Cricetulus griseus: one gene and its partners. The protein of the gene in region 5 binds, or shares a complex with, the protein of the main gene of each other region. Links are inferred from orthologs where the notes say so. Each region holds a gene or a part of one and is shown on either strand. Other genes may lie near its edges. The genes, in order: Pa2g4, Srsf1, Ddx5, Hnrnph2 and Arvcf.

Region 1 (6,100 bases), on a different chromosome or scaffold from region 5:
GGCAGATCTCTCTGAATTTGATGCCAGCCTGGTCAGAGTGAGTTCCAGGACAGCCAAGGCTACATAAAGAAACCCTACCCTGTCTCAAAAAAACAATAAGACGCATAGATTGCATGATTCCACAACTATAGACTAACCATTATGCAAATAACCAATAAAAAATAATAGTAACAACTAATTTCAGAAATTACTATAGGCTAGGCTTGAAAACAACTCTTTAGTCAATAGTATTATAAGGAAACAAAGGCAGAATTATAAGTAAAAAGTATGCAACTTAAGTAATTATAAGGATTAAATACAAACAGAACAAAAAGAAGGGCACACAAAAAGACAGTCTTAAGTTTTCAGTAGTTTTCTGAATAATGTTCACCAACAATCTAACACAATTAATGTTAGTTCACAAGAACTCTATCCTATCTGGGCTTCCTGATACGCTCCCCCCTCCAAACAACAAAAGAATTTGTTTGTTAGGCACGAATTTGCCAGCACTTTTTCTATCCTTTTCATGCACAGTTTTAAGAAACGTGTTTCATTGTTCATTACCTACCCCAAATTATTTTGGGGTGAAAGTGCACATACAAAATCTAAAAATGGCCTTTATAGGCTCCACGGTAAGAAGTCACATTCCCTACACCTTGCATGTACTGTGGTAGATACTTAGTTATTTGCTGTTTTCAGGGTGCCTGATTCATCTTTGCAACAGGAAGGAAGCACCTTACCTGGTTTCCGGGTTTGACCAGTCGTAAGGCAGCTTCGGCACAAAGATGAGCTGCCTTAATGACATCTGCTTTCCGGCCTGTTACCTGGGTCCCCTGTGGAGAAATATAACTAGTATCACTGCAAAGCTCACTATGTTCATATTCGAGGCCAGCCAATCACACAACACACCAGAAAGTGGTTTCTTTTTGCTTCTCTGGATACTCTTAAGATTATGTGGTACGACAGAGTGGAGCATATCCCCTTACCAACACTGAAAAGGCATGCTACCCACCTGAGCCACACCAATTACAAAAGTGTGAGCCACATTAGCAATGAAGCCATCCACATGGACCCCAAGGTCACTGAAAGGCAAGGATAGAACACTTCATTAGGAACCGACCCTGCTTAAATGTGTAGGAAAATGACAAATACTCCAGAATGGCTTAACCTTACATTTTTACCAAGTCACCTTCCTTGAGTATATAGTCCTGGTCACTCTTCAAAGGGGAGAAGTGACACACACAGTTATTTACGGAAATGCTGGTAGGGAAGGCAACACCTGTAAAAAGAACCATCAACCTTACTGCCTGGCTCTGCCTTGGCAGCACCCGCTGCCTTCCTTAAACTTACTCAGTGTAGATCAGGAGAGGAAACTACACCCATCCCATTTGCTACTCCAGATTTCCAAATATGTTAATCAGAGATGGCGTGGACTTTACAATGGGGGGGGGGCGGGGCTAGATGGATACGGTCAAATGGGAGAAATTAAGAAGAGTATTCTTTCCCGTTTACCTTTCTTCATTTCCTTTTCCTTCTTGAAGATTTTCCCTGTCTCTTCCATTATCATGGCATCGCCTTTCTCACACAGGCTCAGCACTGATACACCTGAGCTGGAGGCTTCCACCAAAGATCGGAGTACCCCTGGAGACAGAATCCCATCAGGTCAGTCCTGCTTGCATTCATCATCTAATTAGATGTGAAGTTGAATTCATTTTCTAATACTCCCTAGTGTCATTGTCTTAAGGCAGGAAGTGGAAAGGAAACAAATTTTGTGTCCTGGTACAATCTATCCACTTTAATGTCTACCTTTTTTTGTTGTTGTTTATTTTGCTTTTTTGAGACACACCCCTGGCTTTCCTAGAACTATGTACACCAGGCTGGACAGGAACTCAAGAGATGGCCTGCCTGTGTCTCCCCGACAAGTGCTGGCACCAGGCACTATCACGCCCAGTCTTCCTTTCTACCTTCCTTTCCTAAAATAAAAAAGGCCAGCGCTTACTTCTCTTCTGTAAATTATTTGACACCTGGATAGACGAGAGTCTTGCACCTACCAAAGATGTTATGGCATACAGAATCATGAACGTTAGGGAACTGTGCTCAAGACACCCCATATGCACAAGCAGAGCAGAAGAAATTTATAGGCGTCAGGGACAAGGGAAGGTACACATAGAATTGCTGAGTCAAAGTTGAAGCATTGTTAAATGCTACCTTCTTCCCTTCCCTAGACACTCTAATTAGGTGTTAGTAATCACAATTTATGTAGATGCATTTCCCCATATACAAGCATATAAGACCAGGGGAATTAATCTAAGGTCTCAAAGATTCAGGAGACTCAAGGTTTACTTTGAGATCTCAAGGAAACGTGATCAGTTTCAAAATTATTATCTAAAGTCAAATTGCCTAAAGCTTCAAATAGTACGGATAGAAATTTTGTCTGATTTAAACCAATAATATCAAATACTAAAACTACCCCAGATAGGGATATTATTTTGTATCCGTCCTCTCTATGATCCATGGGGATTCAAGGCTTAATAGTGTTTTGGTTATTCTTTGGAATACAAAAAAAAAAAAAAAAAAAAAAAACAACTCGGTTTTAACTAAAGGCATCCTAAATACCTTCTTCAATTTTGTCAAGACCATTTTAAAGTCCTAATAGTTTCTATCTCTATTAAGAGGCTTTTAAAAAATGGAAAAGAGAGCCGGGTGTGGTCTGGTGGCACAGGCCTTTAATTCCAGCACTTGGGAAGAAGAGATAGACGGATCTGAGGCCAGCCTGGTCTACAAGAGTAGGACAGAAATTCCCCCCCACCCCCGGGAGGGGGTGCATGGGACGGGACGGGACTGACACGAAGAGACAACTGGAAAGAGCCCAAGTGGCAGACAACTGTTGAGAAAGAGCAAGAAATACTTATAATAACCCTAAAAAAATCAGTGTTCCTCTCCGTCCCGTCCCAGCATTATTGACAGGCTTGCCTAGCTGTGTTCTAAGCAGGACCTCAGAACACTGTCAAGCCTCTAAAAACAAATATTCAAGGCCATTTCACAGGCTGGGGCAGCAGTCATCAACCTAGTGTAGAAAACCGATTGTCTTTAAGAGTTGTGTTAGAAGCTGCAGACGTGCCCCTCAACGGTCCCTCGGGCTAGGCCAGGGGAGAAGGGGGCCCCCACCAGGGGGACCTGAAGTTGAGACTTTTCTGAAGCACGTGGTGGGGAAGCACGGTAGTAGAGGAAGTGGGGAGCCAGCGATCCGCACAGGGACCTGGCAACACGTGCCGGCCTGGCTCCTACGGGTCAGGACCCGCGACTGCCAGAGGGGCGCTTATGTCGCCAACAGCTGGGAGCAGCACCCTTTCCGAGGTAGCCTCACAGCTGCCAGTCAGTGGAAGCAGAGATCCCGACAGACCGAAGGGTGACGGGCAGAAGACGACGCGCCTTGCCTCCTTACCAACCGCCTAGGGTCGGAGCATGTCTGGGCCCCTCTCTGCGCTCCTCGCGGTCGCCGGCCCGCACCTCCACTCTCTCCAGCCCAGGCATGGCTGCTCAGTCCCCGGGGCGACACCAGATCTCCCCACCACGTCGCCCCTGGTCGTCGGCACGCGCCCCTCGGTGGCTCACTCCGCAAGACCCAGCCGCTCCAGCCCCTCGGGAGACAGCCCCAAACCTCTCCCTCTCAGCCTCGATTCCAAGACCCCCGAGGCCGCACTCACGGTTGGCGATGTCGCCCCCCATCTTATACTTGGTCACGACCAGGTCCTCGGCGATAGTTTGCTCCTGCTGCTCGTCTTCGCCCGACATCTTCCTACCACCACTACTGCAGCTTCACTTTCCCTGAGCTGCGGCCTCCGTCTCCCTTCCAGCCACAAGCTGTAGCTAGAGTCTCTTCGATCCGCGAGGAAAGCGCGAGCAAGCAAGGGAGCGGGAGGGCGGGCGCAGAGAGCGAGAAGCTGCGAGCGCGCGGGCTGAAGCGCAGGGCACGCTGGGACAATGAGTCCGGCCGGCGTCCAGCCTCCAGCCGCCCTCGTGTGCTCAGGAACTACAATTCCCAGCCTGCTCCTCGCGCCCCGCCGCCAGGCCCTGGGGCCTTGCCCTCCCAGGTCTGCGCACGCCGGAATCGCCGGGCACGCTGGGAAGGGTCTGGCTCCGGCGGGAAGGCGGAGCCGTTGGGGAGCTTGAGGGAAAGCGTGGTCTCTACGGGAAAAACCTCATTCACGGGAGCTCGGAGCCAGAACTCGTAACAGAGGGGGGCGGGCTAAGCGAGGCGGGGCGGAGCTAAGCGGAGAAGAGGGTTTAGAGGCCGCGGAACAGGGTGGAACAGGGTGGAGCAGGGTGGAGCTAGAGGACCAGGGTCACTGTTGGTACACCTAGGGCGGGCAGCTTCGGATTCCCGGGTAGGCAAGCGTGACCGGCCTGGCTGGTCCAGTCCTCCTCTGCTGGGAGAACAGGAAGGGGCCGAGCGGAGGCGGTGCTGGGAGCGAGGGACTAACTGAACAGACTTAACTAGACAGTCCGAAAGATTATTCATTTACCGTGGCCTGCTAATAAGGCCAGACTTGCTACTATACTAGAGTAAAATGGCACTATTGTTCCAGCGGTAGGTTTTGATGGGGGCATCTAAGGGAAATGTTTAGGAGGTATTTGGTCACTCCAAAGAGAATGAGTTCTGAATTATTTCAGGCTTTCAGTATTCAACCTATGTAGGAAAAAACAAACAAGATTTGGGGTTTTTCTCTTTTCCCAAGCAAGCGCTTTGGCTTTTCTTGTTTACACTTGCTACTTTGTAGCGATTCCCAGTAAAACGGGTTAATAAAAAGGAGTAGAAACAGGGTCTGGAGAAAAGGCTCAGCGTTTATAACCTGGTATTCCTGTGGAGGGAGTTCGCAGCACCATGCCAAGCAGCTTGTAATTTGGGCACTGCACTCACCATTGCCAGCCCCTACTCCCTCATATACCCATTTTTTTTGTTTGTATGCTTTTTTGCGTTTTTGTTTTTCGAGACGGTTTCCCTGTGGCTTTGGAGACTGTCCTAGAACTAGCTCTTGTTCACCAATGCCCGGCTACCCAGGTTTAAAAATAAACTCTTAAACCGAGCGTTGGTGGCACACGCCTTTAATCCCAGCACTCACGAGACAGAGGCAGGCGGATCTCTGTGAGTTCGAGGTCAGCCTGGTCTCCAAAGCTACACAGAGAAACCCTATCTCGATAAACCATAAATAAATAAATAAATAAATAAATAAATAAGATCTTAACATTTAAATAAAGCTGGAGAGATGGCTCAGAGGTTAGGAGCACTGGCTGCTCTTCCAAAGGTCCCAGGATCAATTCCCAGCAACCACTTGACAGCACGCACTATCTGTAATTCCAGTTTCAGAGGATCTGACACCTTCATACCAATGCAAACACAATAAAGTTGAATTATTAAAAAAACATTTAAATAAAAAATTGGGAATGTCAGGAGCAGAGGAAGCTACTGATTGCTAAGAAGCAAAGAAAAGGGATGGTCTCAATGCACTCTTCAGTTGATAAAAATCCAAAAGAAACTTGGCATCTTTATTCAGACATGTATAAAAACAAAACAAAAAAACTTTAATGGTACAAGAAGACATTTTCCCTCAGTTCCCATCCAGGAAGACTGAGGTCTGAAGATGGATCCTCTTTCTATCCCACAAGAAGTTTCTCATTACTGGTTAAGAATAATTCCTAAAATGAGTCTTGGAACCTTTGTGAATTGACTGTAAGGAGTGTATATTATCCACAACATATGTGGGCTATGAAAATGTCCAGTTATTTGTCCTTCTGTGTTGTCTTCACTCCTTCCTGAGATGAGAAGCCTGTGTGCTGGAGGAAAATGTGGCCCTTTGGCGTTTGCTTGATTCTGTGCACAAACAAGGAGTCTGGCAGTTCACAACTTGGGAGGCTGAGACAGGATTGCTGTGAGTTGAGTTCAAGGCCATCCTCCTGGGCTACATAGTTCCAGGTCACTCTGCAGAGTGAGACCCTGTTTCTATCTCTGTCTCTGTCTCTGTCTCTGTCTCTCTCTCACACACACACACACACACACACACACACACACCTTACAAGGGCTTGACACAGGTACTCCTTGATACCTTATAGTAAAAAGTAC
Region 2 (6,385 bases), on a different chromosome or scaffold from region 5:
GGAAAAAAAACTCTTTGGAATAGCCAATTAAGTTGAATGAAAAAAAAAAATCCACACGAATGCGGTTTGGTTGGGGCAGGAAGGAATCCACTCCTATGTTCCTGGTAATCTGATCCCGCTCCATGAATCCTGGTAATTCATCCTCCCTATCCTATCCACATTATGATTTGAATCCAATGATCCAGCTCCAAGGATTGGGATCCAGTGAGCCCTCTCCAATCCAAACCTTTATAACCAGCAAAACCAAAAAAGAGGAGGCAAAATGTTAGATACTGTAATCAAAAAAGGTTTCTGGGGAATGATGAGTTATGTCTGTCATCAGTTTAACAGATGTACATCAATAACTATCAAATTCCCCAAAACAAGTTTCTGTATGGTGTTTAGATAAACTTTAGAAACTTAATCATTATAGAGACTAACAGGAAGAAGCAATTTATATTTACAGTTCAACTGATAATGCCAACACTTGTTACTGTACAGGTATCACAGGTTTTGTGGTTGCAAAGTTATGTAATTGAAGTTTACTGGTATTGCTACCCACCTAAGTCTAAACTAAATCTATTGCTCCCATCTGCAATTTAGCTTGTAAATTAAAGTGTATTAAACATGAGTCAATTATGAATATTAAAAGGGAAGGTGAGACTTAAAGCACTCCCAACTAGATTATCTACACTAATACATTGGAATTCTATTTTGCTGTCATTTTGTCTTTAAAAAAAAATGAAATAACAACGCTCTATCAGTCACACAGAGGACATGCAGATTTAGCAGTATTGATATTATACTCTGTTTGGAAATAGACACCCTGTACCCACATGTACACCAACAGCAGGCCACACATTAACAGTTGTAACTAAGCACTGTGACAAATTAGCCATTCTTCCCACATTAGTCCCTATTAAAACAAAAAGGGGGGGAGAAGGGAGCAAATAATTGTTACAAAATGGGCAATTCTGCCACAATTGCCAAGGTTTAGAAAGCAATTGTAGCTAAAGATAACTGCATAAGATGTTTGCAAGTGTCTTAAGGTAGATAAAAATTTTAACCCTTGTCTTTTAGTATAAGGTCAATACTGCCAATTTCATCTGTGACAATAGCACTTGGAGTCATACCATTGCCTCCATTATTGATCTGATCCTCCTCAATCCTCCTTTTGACAATCCTAAAATGATTGAAATGTGCTCCACAATCCTTAATCCAAAGCATTCTTAATCCATCTCTTCAGATATGTCTACAGAAAGACACATGAAAAGCAAGATAAACATAAGAACTTCCCCAAGTAAGATAACCACAAACACCCCCAACATCCCATTTCACACAAACCAGAGCAGAATAGACATTTACACAATATCACAGTCTGAAGAGCATGGAAATTAACTAAATTTAAACAATCCTGTCTATGACATCACTTAAAATACAATTTACCAAAGACATGAGGGGAATGTAGATGTTAGGAGCAAGGGGATATTACACAAGAATGCAATTCAACACTTTAGCCCATTCTGAACAAAACAGCTTGAATTAAAAAAAATGAAAAGATTGTACTGAGTAAAGGAAAACTGTATACAACATGGGTTCTACAAAAAGTGTCACCAATCATCTTATGTACGAGAGCGAGATCTGCTATGACGGGGAGAATAGCGTGGTGATCCTCTGCTTCTCCTTGGGGAGTAACTGCGACTCCTGCTGTTGCTTCTGCTACGGCTTCTGCTACGACTACGGCTTCGAGATCGAGATCTTCCATAACTTGGACTTCTGGGCCCATCAACTTTAACCCGGATGTAGGCAGTTTCTCCCTATTGGATAGACAGAACTTTCCATTGAAAGATCTAAGCTTTCACCTGTCTTCAGACATGCTGAATGAATACAAAGACAGACAGACCAGGTCTCTGGTAATTTACTTGGACACCTTTGCCTGTATCCTTACCTTCAAATTCCACTGTTAAGAACACTGTATCCAATTCTGGCCAAATAAAAGAATAAATGTATAACCTACCTCATGAGATCTAAACTTAGTGTTATCCAGTTTTCGAACTGCATACGTCATATCTTCTTTCCGTACAAACTCCACGACACCAGTGCCATCTCGGTAAACATCAGCATAACATACATCACCTGCTTCACGCATGTGATCCTTTAAATCCTGCCAGCTTCCACTCGGAGGCAGTCCTGAAAAAGTGATTTCCCCCTACTTAATGCTAATCACCCAGTTCCACATCAAACTGGTGCAACGTACATCAGAACAAGGATTATTTTAAAATACTGAATGATTGTACTTAAGTGTTTCCAGGTAAAGAGCTGGTAAGAGTCTGAGATCCACAGTCCAAACTTATTTGTAAAGGATCTTCATAGGCTAGCACTGCAACCTAATTTGGGTAAATCACCGCCACAGTAATCTTCGTTTACTAAATTCACCCCCAAGACCGAAGCAGTTTAAAAGGAAAAAAAAGGAAAAAAAAAAAAAAAAAAGCAAAGCAAAGCAAAACAAAAAATAAGACCAAACACCAAAACTTGGGAGTTGTCAAACCAGTCTCGCGGGAAAAGGATTTTCTTAAAACCCCACACGGAGTCAACTCACCAGAGACAACCACTCTGTTTTCAGAGCGCCTGGATGGCGGGCCATAGCGGCCTCTCGGAGCTCCGCCGCCTCCACCCCCGCCGCCGCCTCGGCCGGTGCCGCGGCCGCTTCGAGGAAACTCTACCCGCAGACGGTAGCCGTCGTAATCGTAGCCGTCGCGACCGTACACCGCATCTTCCGCGTCTCTGCGTGATCACAGAAAGCAAAGGGGATGAGGCCAGGGACAGCGGCCGGCCGGCCGGCCGGCCGGGCTCACGCAAGCCACTCGGGAAGCCGCGGACGGCGCACATGCGCACCCACGGCGCCGGAGCCCACATGCGCTGCATAATAGGAGCGGCCCCTCCCCCACCCACAAACACGCCGGGCGGACTCCCGACCACCACGCCAGCCCTCGGCGCCTCAGTTTCCCGCTCCCGGGCCGCGCATGGGCTCTGGGGACGTCCGAGGCGGCCAGCCACCGGAGACAACACGCCGACTCGGCTCCTTTACTCGACTCCTGCAGGGGCGATAGCGCCTCGCTCCCAGCCTCGGAGCCCCTCCTTCCCTCCCCCCCCCATTATGTCCAGGCCTCAGACAGAGCCTTCCCCCAACTACTCCAGCCTATCTCCTCAAGGCCGCAAGCCCCACGCTGCCTCACCGCGGGTCCTCGAACTCAACGAAGGCGAAGGGCGGTCCCCCGCGGCGGTTCTTCAGGTCGATGTCGCGGATAGCGCCGTATTTGTAAAACACGTCCTCAATGTCCTTGGTTCGGATGTCTGGAGGTAGGTTACCCACGTAGATGCGGCAGTCGTTGTTGCCTGCCGGGCCCCGAATCACACCACCTCCTGACATGGCGGCGAGGGAAAAAAAAAAAGCGCGGACTCGAGAAGAGGCCTTCCCACCAAGCCTAGCGTACGGCAGAGCGAGCCCTCAGCGGCACCACGTCTCCCGCGGCCCGTCCAAAATGGCGCCTTTATCAGCCCGGCGCACTGATATGGGGGGGAGGGGGAGGAAGGGAAGCCAGAGGAAGCGGCTATTCCGTCCCCAGTACGCACGCGCACGAGCGTAACGGGTGCTGAGAGGCACGCTCGCGCACGCGCTACGTCACCCTCCGCACGGAGGGGAAAAAGTCCCTCGCGTCCTGCTGCTGGTGGAACGCCTGGTTCAGCGAGGCGGCCAGACGTGTGGTTGAAAACGGTGTACGCTGGTGAAAGGGGGTTGTTGGTCCCGGCTGAGTCAAGGATAGTATGTCTCCCCTCAGGAGAGAACCCTCTTTTAAAAGCCACTCGGCGCTTTGAAAGGATTTGGTGACAACAGCCCACAACCGTGTCCCACCATGCTCCGCGGCGGTAACGGCCTTTGGCGGGAAAGGCGCCGGGGGGCGGAGCCAGATGACGCTGAGCTGTTGCTCCGGAAACCTGGGCATCTTCGGAGCCGGCGGAGTTGCAGGTGATTGGTTTAAGAGCGTGGGCGGAGCTGTGTCCTGTGCTTCTACGAACCTGCGTTTTTTTGGTGGGCTGCGTTTTGTAGGCAGTTAGGAACCCTCCACACCTCTGCGAACCAACCGCGCCTTCAGTTTTTTCTCTTCCTCCTTTCAAAGGATGGGGAAAGAAAAAAAATAATAAAATAGATGCGAGGACTGTAACTACTAGAGACAACGGTTGCATCTCACATTGTTTGAAATCAGGATATTTATATTGGATACTACGACTTTTAACTCCTTTGTAATCACGGGAATGGAATTTAGGGCCTTATGTGTGAAATCATGCAGGTTTTCAGTCTTGTTAATGAATTCGAACTGGAATAAAAGCAAAACCAAGCTGAACTTGGTGACTTGTGGCCTCAATTTCGTCAGTCCGGAAACTGAGGCAGGAGGATTCTATGCTAGTCTGTGATACACAGTTCTAGATCAGCCGGGGCCATGTAGGGAAACCCTTTAGATTTTTTTTTAAATTTATTTTTTGTGCATTGATATTTTGACATGGGTACTGGGTTCCCTGGAACTGAAATTACAGACAGTTATGAGTGCTTGGAATTGAACCTAAGTCACTGAGCCATCTCTCCGGCCCCGGGAAACCCTTTAAATTAAAAAATTGGGAAAAATAAAGCCAAAGCCTTTTGTAGTTATTATTTTTGTATTTTTCACACAGGATTTCTCTATCTTTCCCTGACTGTCTTGGATCTCACTCCTTAGACCAGGCTGGCCTGGATTTCAGATCCACCTGCCTCTGCCTCCTGGGTGCTGGGGGATTAAAGACATCGACCGCCCTCTTCAGGCTAAAACCAGAGCCTTTCATATTCAAAGTAAACATAAAATAGCCAGAAGAGGCAAGCGCATGCCTTTAATCCCAGCACTTGGGAGGCAGGGGCAGGCGGATCTCTGAGTTCGAGACCAGCCTGGTCTACACGAGCTAGTTCCAGGACAGCCTTCAAAGCCAGAAACCCTACCTCAAACAAACAAACAATAGCCAGAGGTGGTGGCACGCCTTTAAATCCCATCATTGTGGTAAACAGAACCTTTTAGTTCAAGGCCAGCCAGAGCTACAGAGACCCTGACTCAAAATAAATGAGCTAAATCAGACCCCCACCGATTTTAAGGGTGTTTTCTGCACTATTACTTTTAGTTTTTAATTTCCTTTCTTTTTGTTTTGTTTTTCAAGACAGGGTTTTTCTGTGTAGCTCTGGCTGTCCTGGAACTTGATCTGTAGACCAGGCTGGCCATGAACTCACAAAGATCTGCCTGCCTCGGCCTTCTGAGTGCTGGGATTAAAGACATGTGCCGCCGCCGCCGCCACCACCCAGCAGTCTTTAAATTTCTATTTTGTGCATATTATGCATTGGAGTGGTGACTGGTGCCATGGCGTACCCATGAGAGTCAGTTCACCCCACCCCCAACCGTGTGAGCCCAAGATATGAAACTGTCAGGGTTTTGAAAAGCACCTTTACTGGATGAGCCATTCTGCTGCCCCTTTACATTCTCATTGACTTAGAACATTCCAAGGATGTAAGGCTGCTTAAAATGAAAGCATTAAATATTAAGACAGGCTAAAGAAATGAAGGTCAATGAGAGTGGGGGAGGGGCTGAGGTGATAAATGCCTGAAGTGAGAGGCTGTTGGATCCCTGGAGAGATCAACTGCAAGGAACACAGTATATTCAAAATTTTAAATGACTTTGAAATACAAATCAATAGTTCAGGAAAGGGCAGGGTTTTGTTAGTCATAAAAGCTAGTTGAAATGAATTTTATAGCAAGGCATGGTAGCCCATATCTGTAATCCCAGCCCTCAGGAGGTTAATGAAGAAGACAATGAGCTCATGGTGAATCTGGGGGGGGTTACATAATGAGATGCTGCTTCAAAAAACAACAAGGGGGGGGGTTAGTGGCACATGCCTTTAGTCCCAGCACTCAGGAGGCAGAGGCAGGCGGATCTCTGTGAGTTTGAAGCCAGCCTGGTCTATGGAGCGAATTCCAGGACAGCCTCCAAAGCCACAGAGAAACCCTGTCTCAAAAAAAAAAAAAAAATGTGTTTAGTAAATGTCTAAGTGAAATACAAACCCAATTTGAAATGATCAAAGATGCTTGTTAAATGTTGGGGAAAGTGGGGGTTCTTGTTTGTTTTTGAGTCAGGGACTCCTATAACTTAGGCTGCCCTTTAACTTCCCAAGCTAGCCCTCCTACCTGCATGAACAGCTTGAAAAGTGAAATTTTTGTTAAATTTTTAAACTATGTATGGGTGGCCCCGGGGAAGTTGAAGCAGGAAGATGAGTTCAATGTCATCTTCTACTATGTTTACAGTTCAGGGCTGGGCTGATCTACGGGAGACACTGA
Region 3 (4,660 bases), on a different chromosome or scaffold from region 5:
AAAATGTGTATTGGCCAGGTGTTATGGCACTAGTCTTTAATTCCCATCACTGGGGAGACAGGCAAGCCAATCAGCCTATTTGGGCTACATAGTGAGACTTTTTGGTTTTCGAGACAGGGTTTCTCTGTGTAGCTTTAGAGCCTATCTTGGCACTCGATCTAGAGACCAGACTGGCCTCAAACTCAGAGATCTGCCTGCCTCTGTCTCCCGAGTGCTAGGATTAAAGGTGTGCACCACTAAGGCCCTGCCCTAGGTGAGTGTTTTAAGTACATAAAAATTGCTGCTGAGCTGTAGGGGACTTGTCAGTGCAGTTGGCTGAGGTTTGAGACTGGGGTCATTTGTTTTTCAGCAAGAGGTAGATACATACAGAAGAAGCAAGGAAATTACAGTTCGGGGTCACAACTGTCCAAAGCCTGTTCTGAATTTTTATGAAGCAAACTTCCCTGGTAAGGACTAATTTTCATCTCAATTCTTTTCATTTGTTCCCTCTTCTTGCGTAGGGTTTTTGCTAAAAATGGTATTATTGGTTTTACAGCAAATGTCATGGATGTGATTGCAAGGCAGAATTTCACTGAACCCACTGCTATTCAAGCTCAGGGCTGGCCAGTTGCTCTAAGTGGATTGGATATGGTTGGAGTAGCTCAGACTGGATCTGGGAAAACATTATCTGTAAGTTTAGGGAAACTTGATACATTCTGGGAGTGGTGACCTGATAATCTTTCATTTTTAATAAAATTTCTGTTTTCACGCTTCCCCTCCAACAGTATTTGCTGCCTGCCATTGTCCACATAAATCATCAGCCATTCCTAGAGAGGGGTGATGGGCCTATTGTAAGTATTTCTTAACTTTTTTGGTCCTTAACACTAAAAATTTTTAGACTACATAATCCCACTCAGTTTGCCAGAACTGGTTTGACTTTAGTTCCTTTTTCAAGTTACTAATGTCCAAGAACAATAAGCAAGGACGGATTTCAATCCCTACAACCTACACGTAGAGAACCAATCAGAAGTTCTGCTTTCCACATGTTCTCCCACATGCAAAAAAGTCTCTCTATCCTGAGCATAGTGGTTCATGCTTAATAGTCAGTGATCACTACTATAATCTCAGGCAGAAACTAGAGGATCTGGGAGTTGGAGGCCAGCTTCAATGACAGAAAGCCTTGTCTTAAATAAATCCAATTCCCAGCATGCACCCCACCTCACCTCCAAAAAAAACACAGCACCATAGTATACTGTTGTGTACTAAAAGCTGGGGTTTTTTGCAATTTTTTTTTCCTTAGTGCTTGGTGCTGGCACCAACACGGGAACTGGCCCAGCAAGTGCAGCAAGTTGCTGCTGAATACTGTAGAGCCTGTCGCTTGAAGTCTACCTGCATCTATGGGGGTGCTCCCAAGGGACCACAGATTCGTGATTTGGAAAGAGGTACATGATCATAAAGGGGGCTCCTTGTTACTGGTGGAATGAAAGGTTTACATGTTATAGTTACATTTGCTCCTTTAATTAAAGGTGTGGAAATCTGTATTGCAACACCTGGAAGACTGATTGACTTTTTAGAGTGTGGGAAAACCAACCTGAGAAGAACAACTTACCTTGTCCTCGATGAAGCTGATAGAATGCTTGATATGGGATTTGAACCCCAAATACGGAAAATTGTGGATCAAATAAGAGTGTGTATCCTTATGTTCTTAGTAAAGATCAGTTCTAAGTTTACTCTTAGGGTTCCAGTCTTAATTTATTTCCCAAAATTTTTTAGCCTGATAGGCAAACCCTAATGTGGAGTGCAACTTGGCCAAAAGAAGTAAGACAGCTTGCTGAAGATTTCCTGAAAGACTATATTCATATCAATATTGGTGCACTAGAACTGAGTGCAAACCATAACATTCTTCAGATTGTGGATGTGTGTCATGATGTAGAAAAGGATGAAAAGTAAGTTTAAATCTTAGCAATTTGAGAAGATCTTGAATTGTACAAGAGTAATTAGTTTTGAAAGTTGTCTTAAAATGAAATTTAGTATGGTATAGGTTCTTTTTAAAATGTGTTTGTGGATATATATATAGCTTGGTGATAAACCACTTGCCTGCCTGGCTGGCTTAAGAAAAAAGCTATATGAGTTTGAGCCTGGCCACTTCACAAGCACACGAAGTGGTATGCCAGTCTTTATGAAAATCTGTGTTGTGCTTGCCTAGTATTTAACCTTACTTCCTGTAAGGAAAGGACAGCCACGTGTCATAAGCTTTTACAGAAGTGGTTTAGTGGGTGTGTTGTTTTGACTTCCGTTGATACGTTTCACTAAGCACATTTCTTTTTTCTTTTCTCTTTAGGCTTATTCGTCTAATGGAAGAGATCATGAGTGAGAAGGAGAATAAAACCATTGTTTTTGTTGAAACCAAAAGAAGATGTGATGAACTTACCAGAAAAATGAGGAGAGATGGGTATGTGGTTTCCTGCCTCATGGTACTTTGATCAAAAGAGAGTTTTGTGGGGATCATCTATTCTACAATATAAGTAGAATTATACAAATTGATTTCAATGACAGTGTAGTGGTAACAGCTCAGGGATATAATGCTCAGTGGGAGAGCACTTGACTAAGATGAAGTACTATAGGGTTAGATTAAATATTGGTAGATTTCTGCCTTTGGGTTTCAAATGTAAGAGAGCTAATATAACTTGTTAATACAGGTGGCCTGCCATGGGCATCCACGGTGACAAGAGTCAACAGGAACGTGACTGGGTTCTAAATGGTGTGTATTTCAAATAAGATGAAGTTTGTTTATAACCTGATAACATTTGCTTGGATTAATGATCATTTATGTGTATGTCTTTGTAGAATTCAAACACGGAAAAGCTCCTATTCTGATTGCTACCGATGTGGCCTCCAGAGGGCTAGGTTAGTACAAACTCGAATTCATGGCTTGGTTTCCCAGAAGATCTCCATGTAGTTTTTTTTAAAGAAAGTTTATTGCTTTCTTTAACCTCTGCATTTTTTCTAAGTTTTTTTCACATAAAGGTGCAGTCTTTGTGGCAAGGCCTAGGCATGACAATCGGAGGACTCGAGGGGGATGGAGGACTAGTGATCGGCTGGCTGCTTCCAGTCGATTAGAGAGGTGAAAAGCTGAAAGTGTGCCAGTAATCTTCAAAGGGCAGAACATACCACCTCTGCCCCATAAACTGTTCTCTCCGGGGGAAAAAAATGGAAGTTACCTCACAGTTCACTGCCGTGGTATTTCATCTGTCCCATGCTTTGCATGATTGCCATGGTACAGCATTGTTTCAAACTGTTCACTGTGATCTGTGGGTCTTTGAGTTTCAGTGAGTTTGCTGAAATGTCGAAGAAATATTTCCAAACTTCAATGTTCAATGAAATTTTTGTTCAAGTTTGAAATGGAGAGAGCAGCTTTAAAAGGTACTAAGCCTTTTACAAATTGGTGAGTACTGGCACATGAGACCTAGAGCAGCAGGGTCAACTTCTCACACATAGTCAGTGGGAAAAGAAAGTGCCTTGAAAAAGTTCCTCCCTCACCTACACAGTAGTCGTCATGTCGAGACCTGCCAGAGAGAGACACATTCTCAAGTGAATCCTGGCTTCTTGGAAGCGCTTGCCTAGACGAGACACAGTGCATTAAAACAACTTTTGGGGGACAGGTATGTTTTTCTTGCAGCTGCAGTTGTAAGGTCTTGGCAAGACAAGCAGTGTGGCCAGAATTTTGAACTTCTGATGAGTGTGATGCAAAGGACCTTGTACATTTTTCTTAAAGGTCCTCAAAAATGAGCACATGAAGAGGTTGCTGTGAAACTTTTAAGTGGCCCTACTGCGCAGAAGCACTCAGATGTCACTTGATGATCTGTAAGGGGACTTTGCCAATTTGGGAATGTGCTAAGGAGAATACACATTCCCTTGATAGGCTGTCAATGGGCGGGTGATAACTTAATACAGCTGACATGTGCTTTTTTTTTCTTTTTTCTGCCCCCACCCTCTTTTTTTTCCTACCTCAATGGTATTCCTACAGGAAATGGATAACCATTTTAACTGTATTTTTTGCAGCCCGTACCTTCTTGGGAATACAATTGTCTAACTTTTTATTTTTGGTCTGGCTGTTGTGGTGTGCAAAACTCCGTACATTGCTATTTTGCCACACTGCAACACCTTACAGATGTGGAAGATGTGAAATTTGTCATCAATTATGACTACCCTAACTCCTCAGAGGATTATATTCATCGAATTGGAAGAACTGCTCGCAGTACCAAAACGGGCACAGCATACACTTTCTTTACACCTAATAACATAAAGCAAGTGAGCGACCTTATCTCTGTGCTTCGGGAGGCTAATCAAGCAATTAATCCCAAATTGCTTCAGTTGGTCGAAGACAGAGGTTCAGGTAAGAGATCTTACAGGTAGTTGGGGTCACCTCATTGTCTACAAAGTCTTTTTTAAGTGGGATTGGTGGGGTAAGTAGTTTATGTTGAAACCTAAGATCTGAAAGAACACTTCGGCTGCCATGAGTAGAGCTACCTAACTCTAGCACATTTATGCCATAGATTTGATACATTCTCGCTTGCTTTCTTGACAGGTCGTTCCAGGGGTAGAGGAGGCATGAAGGATGATCGTCGTGACAGATACTCTGCGGGCAAAAGGGGTGGATTTAATACCTTTAGAGACAGGG
Region 4 (5,949 bases), on a different chromosome or scaffold from region 5:
ATAACTGTTACTGATCTGAGGGTGTCCAGGACTGAAGGTCAGTGAGAGGTGAAATGCTAACCACCATGATGCTCATATGTTAAGATACCCAACTGGGCGGTGGTGGCGCACGCCTTTAATCCCAGCACTCGGGAGGCAGAGGCAGGCGGATCACTGTGAGTTCGAGACTAGCCTGGTCTACAAGAGCTAGTTCCAGGACAGCCTCCAAAGCCACAGGGAAACCCTGTCTCGAAAAACCAAAAAAAAAAAAAAAGATACCCATAGATGAAAGTGACACAGGTGCACAGAATACTCATGGGGAGGTGCAAGCTATGATAAATAGACATGTGGCTTGCATTCAAAAGAAATGTTTTAACTATGTTAATGTTGCAATGAACAGGGGGAGAAGCCAGGTGCTGGTGATGCACACCTTTAATCCCAGCACTCAGGAGGCAGAGGCAGGTGGATCTCTGTGAGTTCGAGGCCAGCCTGGTCTACAGAGGGAGTTCCAGGACAACCTCCAAAGCTACAGAGAAACCATCTCGAAAAACAAAAAGGAAAAAAAAAACGAGGTGGGAGAACTGGTGATCAAAACGAAGCTATTTCTTAACAGTTCCTTTTAGGATTAGACTTTAGCAGTGGGAGAATGGTGAGCTGTCTCACAAGGTGGTCTTGAGTCCTCTCAGCACAATATTTGGCACCATCTCAGAACTTTCCCAGGATGGGGTCCAGCAATCAATTTTTAAATGTTCCAATGATGCTAATGCAGAATCAGAGAAACAGTGGCTCACAAACCTTAGATGTTCTGTAAACCATGAAAAGAAAAGGGCATTTAATGGCTTTTATCACTGAGTGGTGGTGATGCATACCTTCAATGCTAGCACTTGGGAGGCAGAGGTAGACAGACCTCTGAGTTCAAGGTCAGCCTGGTCTACAACATGGGTTTCAGGACAGCCTAGGCTATACAGAGAAACCCCATTTCAAAAAGGAAAAGAAAAAAAAAGAAAAAATCAGAAATAAAACTGCAGGGCTAGAGACAGCTTCATGGGTAAGAATGCTTGCTGGGCTAGCACAGAAGACCCCACTTCACATCCCCAGCACCCATGTAGAAAGCCAGTCGTACTCATACACATGTAACCCCAGTGCTGTGGGCAGCAGAGACACGGGGATCACTGGAACTTACTGACTGCCAGCCTAGCTGCAGGCTCAGTGAGAGACCTGTTATCAGGACAATATGGCAGAGAGCAATAGAACAGGGTACCCAATGTTTTTCTCTGGCTTCTACCAACACTCATTTACATGTGTGTACACATTCATTTGAACACACACACACACACACACACACACACACACACACAAAACAAATAAATAAATAAATAAATCCAAATTTAGGCTTTGGATGTCGCCCTGTTGGTATAGTGGCTGTCTTGCATGCAAGAAGGTGTGGGTTTGCTCCCCACCAAGGCATAAACTGGAAACAGTGCCACATGACTGAAATTCCAATACTTAGGAGGTAGAGGCAGGAGGAGCAGAATTTAAAGGTCATTCACAGCCTGGAATATTAGAGACCTTGTCTCAAAAAAAAGGAAACTGAAAATTTGCATTCCCACTGCAGAGAACTTTTAAAAAGTTAGTTACCATGTGCCCATGTAACAGAACATGATTTAAGAAAAATCAAACTATACAAGATTTGTCCAGTTTTTAAAAGGAAGATTTATTTAACAAGTTTCACTTAGTACAATACATCTAAATGGAATTCACAATACAAGGTAAGATTTAAATCAAAGCCTCAGAATTCCATACAAACAACATGACCAAACTCCTAAAGTATTGGTACTACATCTCAAAATTATCCCAGATCTTTTTAAAAAAAAAAAAAGTGAAAGTGTACACTCACGTGCCTTACAGGATATTAAACCAAAAAGCTAGAATTAACAAACATGCCAAATGTTGTCACTTTGAATCATAGACACAGCTCCTATATTTGATTTTTACAGAAAAGCATGTTTCTCAACATGCATCTGAAGGCTTTGATGTATTGTGGTATAAGAGCAACATTTAACGTAAGTGAAACTGCTTTAAACCTAAATATGCTTACTGCTTAAGTACACTCCTACAACATAACTAACTTGAGGAAAGCTGAAAGTGGATTTAACAGTTATGGTCAATACTGAACTTGTTATTACATCCTAGATGAATATTTCAGTGTTCAAAACTGCTGAGCTTAAAGTTTGAAAACAATCTTAACTTTTACTTTACAGTAAGCATGAATCACAAGCTTGTAATGCAAAACTGTTAAACTTAAATTTTGTTCTTAAAAAAAGGAGAAAAAAAAAAGAAAGAAAGCTGACCGATAGTGATCAGAAGCAACTTTATTTCCCATTTACCAATCATACTGGATATGCTTGGTATCCTTCCTACTCTATCCAGTTCCTATAAATGCACAGCTTTTATTCCTGGAGCTGTTTGGTGTTCCTTCTTTCCCTAAGCAAGGTTTGACTGATAGTCACTTGAGTTTTCCTGAAGAACTTGGTCATATCCACTCATACTGCTCTGACCACCATAACCACCACCATAACCACCACTCAGCTGCTGGCTGGCAGGACCTCCATAACTAGACTGGTTAGATAAACCCATCCCTCCCATCATCTGGCTGCCATAAGCACCACCGCTTGCCCCTGCTGTAGAATTCAAAAACAGTTCTACGTAGCTATGATCGTAAGCTCCTCCACTTGTCCCTGCAGTAGAATTCAAGAAGAGCTCCACATATCTATGCTGCATATTAGCTTTATCTTTTGCCATAGCTGCCACAGCATCTTCATGAGTAGCAAACTCGACATCTGCCTCACCTGTAACTCTGCCATCGGGTCCTATTTCAATGTGTACTCTCATGGGATTAAGAGGTGAGAAAAAATTGTAAATATCATTCTCAGTGGCTCTGTATGGTAACCCCCTCATGTGTACACAGTGCCCTGTGGTGCTCTGGAAACTGGACCCACCATCTCCATATCTATGATCAGACATTCCTGAGAAACAGTAGTTTAGGTCTCTCCCAAATCTATCAGACCCAAAGCCATACCCGTCATTATAGCCTCCATAGTCATCATAGCCTCCATAGCCTCCACCATAGGCACCCCGCCTCATTCTTTCAAATCCAGCTCCTCTACCAATGCTATTATACCCTCTTCCAGCCCCTGGCCTATCATAAGGACCCGGGCGCTGCATAGTCATAAGCTTTCGAGGGGGATCATAGTGAGTTCGGACTTCAGCTCTGCTACTCTTGAAGATTTCAATGTACCTGTGCCCTATTCTTTCCTTGTGTTTCTTTAAGGCCTTTTCAGCTATCTCCTGTGAAGCAAACTGCACGAAAGCCTCCCCTGTGCTTCTCCCCTGAAAGTCCACTGGCAGTGTCATCCCATTTGGCACAATTTCCAACCCTGAAAAGAACTGAACAATTTCTTCCTTGCTACAGCCAAATGGGAGTCCTCTAAGCCGTACAAAACCATCATTGGCAGTATCAGGACTATTTGGACCTGTATGCTTTAACACCCAATCCATTTCAACACTGTTGGACTTGAATACTTCAACATATCTGTGTCCCATGGTTTCTCTGTCTTTCTTTAAAGCCAATTTTACTTCATCTTCAGATTCAAGTTCGACAAATGCTTCACCACTTGGTCTGCCTTCTCTGGTGTAGATGAAACGAACACCTGATGTACCATTTTGGATTTTGCAATCAGAGAAGAAGCGCATCACTTCCTCAGCTGAGCAGGACCAGGGTAGGCCCCTGACCTTCACCACGAACCCCTCCCTGCCCTCTGTGCTCAGCATCATGGTGACTGTTGGGCTCTTGGTGGCAAGCTTGGCTCAACGCAATTTCAATGTGGCTTTAAAAAAATTAGAAAACTATTGTCATGAAAAATTATACACAATAAGAGAAACAAAGAAAACTATTATTATAGAAGTTCACATCAGTTACTTTTTAAAAAGATAGCCACATTAACAAAAAGACTGCATAAAACTTAATTCACTCACTTAACAATTACTCATTCCATTTCTATTATGTATCAGGTATAATTAATAATGATTATTTCTGGGTAGCAGTACAATAGGACTTGTTTCCATGAACATATACATGGAAAATATTAAGACATTTTTTGAATATTTTAAATTTTCTGCACTGGCCCAATGCATTAACATCATAGAGAAAATTAAAATTAAAAATAAATAAAATATAACTATATCTCATTATATAAAAATCAAAAATTTCTTTAAATCAAAAGACAAAATTCATAAGATACAAGTCCATTAATATCCCAAGAATATAAACAATGCATGCAAATCAGTAAAATACAGAACTATTAATGCCTAAGAGATAAATGGGAAAAAAAACATTGAAAACATTAATGGGACTTTACATATGCAAGCATGCTTTAGATGTCAGGTCTAGTACTCATTCTGACATGTAAGAATCAATGAGTCCAGAAAGGGCTTACAGTCCTACAGGAGAACTGTATGCCTTTACCAAAGGAAAGTGCAAACAGATAAAATAAAGGAAGGACTGATTGATGAAGTGTTATCAATTGGAGGCAGAATGGTTAATTGACACAAACTATTCTGATCCTGTTCAGGGATCCAGAAACAGTTTATAAAAATGTTTAATGGAGCACGAAATGGAAGGGGACAAAAAGCAAAGGACAGGGCTGTCAAAAAGAGATGAGATCCTGAGGGTCTGATTTAATAGGAGGCTAGACTCTTCTCTGGTTCACAAGCATGATGATTCAGTATTCACAACACTGTGTGACATGTGCCTCCCCCAAACCTTAAGACATTGGGACTTTACCGTTCTGATGCTGGGTGTGGAGAGGGGAATATATATATATATATATACATACATATCTATATATATAGCACCTTTTACGGATCTTAAACAGGAGTGATGTCATTACAGCCCTTTCAGACTTATCACCCAGGCAACTGGAGCATTCAAACAGAAGGAAGGGGGACTGGATGAAAAGAGCAAAAGAGCAAATTAAAGAATGACCTCTTAGAGATATGACAAGAGATTCACTAAAATAGCAGTAGAGGTAAGGAAAAAAATGTGATCTGCCTAAATAAAAAAGTGGAATCTGCAGCAGGACTTGACAAAAACATTATGGGTATTTTTTTTGAGACAGGGTTTCTTTGTGGAACAGTCCTAGCTGTCCTGGAACTCTCTCTGTAGACCATGCTGGCCGTGAACTTTCAGAGATCTGCCTGTCTCTGCCTCTGGAGAGCTGGAATTTAAGGCATGTGCCACCAACTCCCGGCTAAAAGATTATGGGTGTTAAGAGCTGGAATTTAAGGCGTGTGCCACCAACTCCCGGCTAAAAGATTATGGGTGTTAAGAGTTGCTAGGTGAGCCAGGCAGTGGTGCTGGAGGGAGAGGCAGGCGGATCTCTGGGAGTTCGAGAGCAGCCTGGTCTACAAGAGCTAGTTCTAGGACAACCTCCAAAGCCACAGAGAAACCCTGTCTCAAAAAAAAAAAAAGTTGCTAGGCGGATCTCTGGGAGTTCGAGAGCAGCCTGGTCTACAAGAGCTAGTTCTAGGACAACCTCCAAAGCCACAGAGAAACCCTGTCTCAAAAAAAAAAGTTGCTAGGTGGATTTCTGTGAGTTCAAGGCCAACCTGATCTACACAGGAAGCTCCAGGCTAGCCAAGGCTGGATAGTGAGACCTATTCCCAAAACAAACAATAAGAGTAAATATGCAGGCAACTAAGGAATATTCATAGTGGAGAAATTGTCTTCCCCAGGGAAGAGCATACTAATTAGTTGTCTAATACCAAATGCAGCCCTGAAAACATGCATACTAATAACATTCTACAGACTGAGTAGGTTGTATTTATGTATTTAGGAATAAACACACATATTTAACAACTAAGGGGAAAAGGCCACAAATTTGAAAGAGAGCAAGCTGGGGAGGTATTTAA
Region 5 (5,617 bases):
GGCCAGTGACACAACATGCTGGACCTCAGTGCAACAGGACTGGGCCAAAAACTTCCATCCAAGAGGAAAACTGCCCCCCATTGGTGGGGGCCAGACATGGGCCATCCTTTACAGAAGGATGGCCATAGCATCTAGGTCGAGCCCCTGCAGTAGCCAGTTTGAACTCTCAACCCCTTCTCCTTCAGCTGAGGGAGCTCTGGCAGGTAGCAAGCTGGTGCAGATGACCTGGTGCTCCTGCCCAGTTTACCCTACAGGACTTCTGTGCCACACATCACCCACTTCATCAGGGACAGATGGTCCCCCAGTACTGGCCACTCCCTGGGCCCTGCCCACTGTTTGCTCTGTCCCAGTGCTGGCTTGGTAGCTTGTTCTGACTTTGTAAGCAGCAGCCCCTGGGCCTCCCCACCAGTCCAGAGCTAGCATTCCAGCCTCTGTCATGTCTATGCTGTTGTCATGGAGATGGCTGCCCTTCCAGGGGACTGGGGGTGGGGCAGGGCTTGGAGGCTGGAAGGCATCCCAGCTGCCCTATAGTTGTCATGGAAATAACTGTGGGCGCTTAGGGAGCATGGATGACACTCTGTTGCCCACTGCACTTGCCAGACCTGGACAGCAGAACAAACAGGGACTCACCTTGGTGGAACCACTCCTCTGGGCGGCCGGAGGAAGCACAGGAAAGAGGAGATGAGCCTCAGCAGCAGTACCCTCCCAGGACTCATACTCCCACCCATGCCAGGTCAAGCAAGCAGGCTGTGCAACCTCACTTGAGGAACTCTGGGGACTCAGTACCCACAGGGTACAGGGAAGACCTATGGTCAGGGGCAAGTGAAGGCCGTGTACCTGTCCCACTACTACTGCTGGAGGATACCAGTACCTGAAATCTGTACCCTGCAGGTGCTGAGGGTGCCTGGCCAAGTAAAGGGGTGTGGTTACAGGCTGCTCTGTATATAGCCCGGTAGTGTCATTTGTGGGCCCCTGGAATCCTTCCCCAGAGTACAGGGACAAAGGTAGATACCACACCATGGCCCACAAAAAAGGATTAAACTGGGCCTTGGGTCTCCGCCTTTCCCAACTTGCTGCATGCCCATGGGGCTGACTAGATGACTTCCAGCCTCCAGGAGTATCTGCCATGGATGCTGGAAAGCCGAGCCCTGGGAGCAGTGGGAAGGGGATGTATCCCAGTCTCACCCACCCACCTTTGGCCTTCTTGCCACCAAAGCAGCTGGCATCATCCTTTCTCCGACGCTGGGAGGCTGTAGCACTGCCCTGGATCCCAGGCTCAGCCTCCTGGTATCTGTCAGCCCCCGGAACCTCCTTGTGCACGTGGTAGGACAGGTTCCGCATGATGCACACGCAGTTCTCCACTGACTGTGGGAAGATGTGGCCTGGTTGGGCAGGAACACCGGACAAGGGGGTGCTGATCTTCCCAGACGCTATGTGTGCAGCCATGGCCAGTGAACACCAATGGCACTGTCGGCCTAAGCTGGGGGGAGCTGCCAAGAGAGACTATGTCCTCTGCTCTGGGTAGTTCCTACCTGCTCCCACCGGTGCCATTCTAGGGAATTCCCCAGTTTTGGGTCCTGTTCCTGTGACCATTGGGTTTTGAGAACTTGAAGGGAAAACTGTGAGCTAGTTCCCACCTGCCCCACCCACCTTATTGTCTGTGTCCTTCCTGCCCACAGCTGACTGCAGGGCATGTAGGAGCGCGTCCACCAGCCCTTCGCACTCACGGAGTCGCCGCCGGGCCTCTGCACCATCTGAGCTCACATTCCTGGGTGGAAGGGAGCAGGACCACCCGTGATCCCTGTTCTTGCCTTACTGAACACCCCAGCCCACTAGGCCTCAGTGGCTTTCATCTGCACAATGGGTCCTGCTGGATCCCAGTGAGGGTGAACAGGGTGGCCCAACTGTCCTAATGGGCTTTTAGCCTTGGATCTGTGGGGGAGGAAGCAGGTTCCCTGGATCCCAGGCTGAACTGGAATAGGACAAAGATGGACCCCAAGAGGCCAGAATCCATGATGTGCAGATAATTCTGCCCCATCCTCTCAACAGCACTTCCCAACATCAGGACCCCCTGCAGGGTCAGGATGGTACAAAACTGAAGGTCAAGCAGGACCTCGGGGACTTAGGATTCCAACTGTGGGTGTGAGGACAGCACCACTGGAAATCCCAGGGACTTAGGATGTGGCACAGAAGCTCCTAAGACTGGGTGAGCTGGGCTATGAGCATGGCAGTTCCTGCCACCCTGCAGATCTGGCCCATGCCCCACCCCTGCCCACACCTCAGGCAGCCTGATGTGTTCTTGAAGACCGTTGTCCACTCAGCATCCCGGGGCTTCGAGTCTTCATTGGGTTCTCGCTCCCAGCCTGAGTGGGGTACGATAACCTCATGGGTCAGCGTCTGTAAGCCGTGGTCAATGATGACCATCTTCAGGGGCTCATAGGATGACAGGTTCCAGAGAGTGCCTGTAATGTGCCACTAGTCAATACTGTTGACCATGGCCCTCCTGCCTTGGCCTCCCCAGGGATGACACTTGTGATCTTTCCCTCCTTGTCCTCCAGCAGGCACATGAAGCTAGCACAGTTGTTCCTGGGTTTTTTGGGTTGTCCCGGGGATGGCACCTAGGGCCTTTGTACATGTTAGGCAAGCACCCAGCTCACATAAGAAGTTAGGAGTGGTGAAAGCTATAAGAGGTTCTAGGGTCCCACAAAGCCTGGCAAGATGTACTGGCAGCACCTAGTAGTGGCTTTCAGCTAACAGGGAAGGGACAAGTTCTAAGAATGGCATAGCCAGTGACAGTTTATCCCATCCATTCCTGCTACATGAGTGGGTGGACAGGCAAATGCTCCTGAGGTCACAGGGCCATAGAGAGATAGCCCTATGGACCCCCCACCCCAATTCTCCAAGGCGCAAGCCCTACTCCTGCACTCGTGAAGGTAAAGAACTAGGGAGGTAGGGTCTGGTGCCAGGAACCCCATGGATGAGAGAGCTGGGGACCCATCCTAGCACCTGAGCCTGATACACTGTTTCCCCACTTACGGGCTGAGCCATGCTCTTGTCAGCCATGGCCAAGGCCCACTCACCAGTGACCAGCTCACGGACCTCATTGTCACGGGCAGCCCGCAGCAGGCGCACCAGGGCTGGCACACCCCCGCAGTCCCGGATGGCAGCCTTGTTGTCAGCATCACGGCCATAGGAGAGGTTGCGCAGTGCCCCGCAGGCCCGGCGCCGCACCTCAGCCCGAGGGTGATCTAATAATGCCACAAGCAGGGGCAGACCACGCAGCTGCCGCACTCGCCGCTTGACACCCTCATTCTCAAAGCAGAGGTGCTGTAGGTAGGCTGCTGCATTGGCTTTCACGGGGTCCACAGGGTGCCGCAGCATGGCCAGCACCTCTGGCAGCTCGGGGTCCCGCCAGCGTGGCTCTTTTCGGGCGCTATCCACTGAAGGTGAGCGCCGCACTACTCGGTCCAAGCTGCCTAGGCTGCCCCTCTCAGGCTGGGCCAGAGGAGCCGTTGCTGCTGGGAATGGAGGTCGCTCATCTATCAGCTCACCGGCATCATCTGCTGTGTCCTCAAAGGCCCTGTGTGGGTGAACAAATCCTGTCAACAACTTCACAGTAGCCAGCAGCCCTACCCGGTTACCCTGTTCAGGGGTCTGGGAATTCCCTGAGAAGGGGAACTGACAGCATCCTGTATCTCAGTCCTAAACACAGTATGGACACCACAGCCCAATCAGTGAAAGGTCAAGGTTATAGCCAAACAAAGCCATTAATGGGCTTGCATCCCTCCCATGTCAGGACGTACACCAGTTAACAGTGTTATTTAACCATGGCTTAATGTGGTTAGATGTGGCATCTGTCAGTGACAGGGCAGGAACCCTACCTCCTTCCTTTCTGTAACATCTGCTGACTATACCAGCACATGAAGGTAGAATACCCTCCCTGCAAGTGGCCATTGCAATCAGACCATCTGATGAGACATGTCTTTGGCTCTCAGGTGCCCTATGAATTCTCAAGCCCATTTCCCAGGGAAGAGTTTGAGACTAGGAAAGTCTGGTAATTTGCCCAGAGTCACATGGCAAACTCCAGACTCAGGCTGTGTGGTCCTGTTTTCATGCTACGGATATAAATGGGGACGGCATAAAGGGCAGGATCAAGGGCCATGACAAGAAGAACCAGGGCCTTTGGGTTTCAGCTAGTGTGCATGATGAAAACATCAGAGGCCTTAAGCAGAGTCACACCATGAGCATCTGAGGCCTGGGTCTTCATGGCCAGCTGGTTATTAGAACAGAGGCAGCTTCAGGCAGTGACACCAGCTCAATGCCTATCATCCCAGGCCCGTTCTTGCTGCCATCCTTGAGAAGAGATGAAGCCAATTCAAATTGAAATGTAGCCTGATGACCTGTGGGATACTTTGTAGCTGGGAGTGGAAGACAGAGTTCACAGAAGAGGCAGTCATAAGCAACAGGTGCTCACCTGGCACGAAGGCCCCGCCCATACTCAGGCCTCCTCCGAGCTGCTGTGCCATAGTCAGGCTCCAGGTCAGGGCCACCCTCATCATCGGCAGCCAGGCTCCGTGTATCATCCTCAAGGCCATACGGCTCAGCTTGGAAGTGCTCAGGCAGGGAGCGGCCACTTGGTGGTCCAGGCTCAGAGCCCATGGGGAAGGCTTCTCGGCGGCCAGGCAGTGTAAAGCAGCCATCACCAGGCCCTGGGCCCAGGAAGCCAGTATGTGGGGGCCGTACCCCAAGCCCTCGGGACAGGCTGCCATAGCTTGGAATATCACGGGGCTCAGGGCCATCAGGAAAGCCACCTCCACTGCTGAGGTAGGCTCGGGAGAGTGTGGCTGCTGGGCCACCACCACGCAGAAGGAAATGCCGGTCTAGGGGCCCATCAGCAAAAGAACCAAGTGGGGGGCCACCATCCAGCAAGGGGAGTCCATCTGGGCCCAAAGGCACCTGGCGTACTGTCCTTGTGGTCACAGTCTTGACCGTCTTGGTGACCTGATGGACGAGAAAGTAGCATTTGGGCTTGGTGTCTCTAGAGACCTGGACAGTGCCAGGGTTCTCCATCCAAACAAGTGGTCCTTAGGGGGTCAGCTCACATGCCTGTCCCACAGAGGGATGGCTATGGTTGTCCAAGCTGCCCTCTTCTTGCCTGGGCCCAGCCATACCTTAGTCTCAGTGCGCCGGGTTGTGCCATCTTCTGATGTGACAATGGACACGTGGGAGGTGGGCGTGCCAGGGTCTTCCTCCACCGTCACTGTCTCCTCCAGCACCTCAGGTGCCTCTGGCATCGTGGCGAGCGATGCCTGGCTACCCGGGCTCTGTTCCTGGAAGGAGAAGGGTGTCAGAGGTCAAGCTCCATGTACAATAGATTCTGCCTAGATGTTTGGTGACCATGCACCAGGGGTTATCAGTTCTTCAACCTAGGGATGAGGTGTAGGGGGGAGTCCATCTGGACCCAAAGGCACCTGGCATACTGTCCTTGTGATCTTGACTTTCTTGGTGACTTGGTGGACAAGAAAGTGGTATATGGGCCTGGTGGCTGAGACCTGGACAGTACCCTGACAAAGCCAGGGTGGCTCAATTCTCCTGGGTGCAAGGTGGCTTCCCCGAG

What was found.
Region 1: Arvcf (region 5) and Pa2g4 share a complex: the UniProt entries of both Homo sapiens proteins name them as parts of the ribonucleoprotein complex. The link is inferred for Cricetulus griseus from reciprocal best matches to the Homo sapiens genes ARVCF and PA2G4.
Region 2: Arvcf (region 5) and Srsf1 share a complex: the UniProt entries of both Homo sapiens proteins name them as parts of the ribonucleoprotein complex. The link is inferred for Cricetulus griseus from reciprocal best matches to the Homo sapiens genes ARVCF and SRSF1.
Region 3: Arvcf (region 5) and Ddx5 share a complex: the UniProt entries of both Homo sapiens proteins name them as parts of the ribonucleoprotein complex. The link is inferred for Cricetulus griseus from reciprocal best matches to the Homo sapiens genes ARVCF and DDX5.
Region 4: Arvcf (region 5) and Hnrnph2 share a complex: the UniProt entries of both Homo sapiens proteins name them as parts of the ribonucleoprotein complex. The link is inferred for Cricetulus griseus from reciprocal best matches to the Homo sapiens genes ARVCF and HNRNPH2.

The regions. Positions count from the first base shown.
Region 1 is NW_023276806.1:129,339,285-129,345,384, reverse strand, and holds the start of Pa2g4 (proliferation-associated protein 2G4), read right to left. Parts: upstream 3,927-6,100; 5' UTR 3,775-3,926; coding exon 3,687-3,774; intron 1,621-3,686; coding exon 1,492-1,620; intron 1,259-1,491; coding exon 1,153-1,258; intron 1,062-1,152; coding exon 992-1,061; intron 813-991; coding exon 720-812; intron 1-719. UniProt on the Homo sapiens protein: May play a role in a ERBB3-regulated signal transduction pathway. Seems be involved in growth regulation. Acts a corepressor of the androgen receptor (AR) and is regulated by the ERBB3 ligand neuregulin-1/heregulin (HRG).
Region 2 is NC_048600.1:101,232,199-101,238,583, reverse strand, and holds the start of Srsf1 (serine/arginine-rich splicing factor 1), read right to left. Parts: upstream 3,879-6,385; 5' UTR 3,410-3,878; coding exon 3,216-3,409; intron 2,764-3,215; coding exon 2,579-2,763; intron 2,170-2,578; coding exon 1,997-2,169; intron 1,797-1,996; coding exon 1,602-1,796; 3' UTR 1-1,601. UniProt on the Homo sapiens protein: Plays a role in preventing exon skipping, ensuring the accuracy of splicing and regulating alternative splicing.
Region 3 is NC_048600.1:119,728,102-119,732,761, reverse strand, and holds part of Ddx5 (probable ATP-dependent RNA helicase DDX5), read left to right. Parts: intron 1-349; coding exon 350-446; intron 447-535; coding exon 536-669; intron 670-764; coding exon 765-830; intron 831-1,279; coding exon 1,280-1,421; intron 1,422-1,505; coding exon 1,506-1,666; intron 1,667-1,752; coding exon 1,753-1,925; intron 1,926-2,320; coding exon 2,321-2,431; intron 2,432-2,678; coding exon 2,679-2,740; intron 2,741-2,826; coding exon 2,827-2,886; intron 2,887-2,990; coding exon of another isoform or gene 2,991-3,004; exon of another isoform or gene 3,005-4,150; coding exon 4,151-4,375; intron 4,376-4,567; coding exon 4,568-4,660. UniProt on the Homo sapiens protein: Involved in the alternative regulation of pre-mRNA splicing; its RNA helicase activity is necessary for increasing tau exon 10 inclusion and occurs in a RBM4-dependent manner. Binds to the tau pre-mRNA in the stem-loop region downstream of exon 10.
Region 4 is NC_048604.1:45,489,407-45,495,355, forward strand, and holds the end of Hnrnph2 (heterogeneous nuclear ribonucleoprotein H2), read right to left. Parts: intron 4,986-5,949; 5' UTR 4,894-4,985; intron 4,833-4,893; exon of another isoform or gene 4,732-4,832; intron 3,867-4,731; 5' UTR 3,814-3,866; coding exon 2,464-3,813; 3' UTR 1,673-2,463; downstream 1-1,672. UniProt on the Homo sapiens protein: This protein is a component of the heterogeneous nuclear ribonucleoprotein (hnRNP) complexes which provide the substrate for the processing events that pre-mRNAs undergo before becoming functional, translatable mRNAs in the cytoplasm. Binds poly(RG).
Region 5 is NC_048597.1:70,850,848-70,856,464, forward strand, and holds part of Arvcf (armadillo repeat protein deleted in velo-cardio-facial syndrome), read right to left. Parts: intron 5,331-5,617; coding exon 5,172-5,330; intron 5,002-5,171; coding exon 4,475-5,001; intron 3,581-4,474; coding exon 3,081-3,580; intron 2,463-3,080; coding exon 2,279-2,462; intron 1,769-2,278; coding exon 1,651-1,768; intron 1,366-1,650; coding exon 1,194-1,365; intron 1-1,193. UniProt on the Homo sapiens protein: Contributes to the regulation of alternative splicing of pre-mRNAs.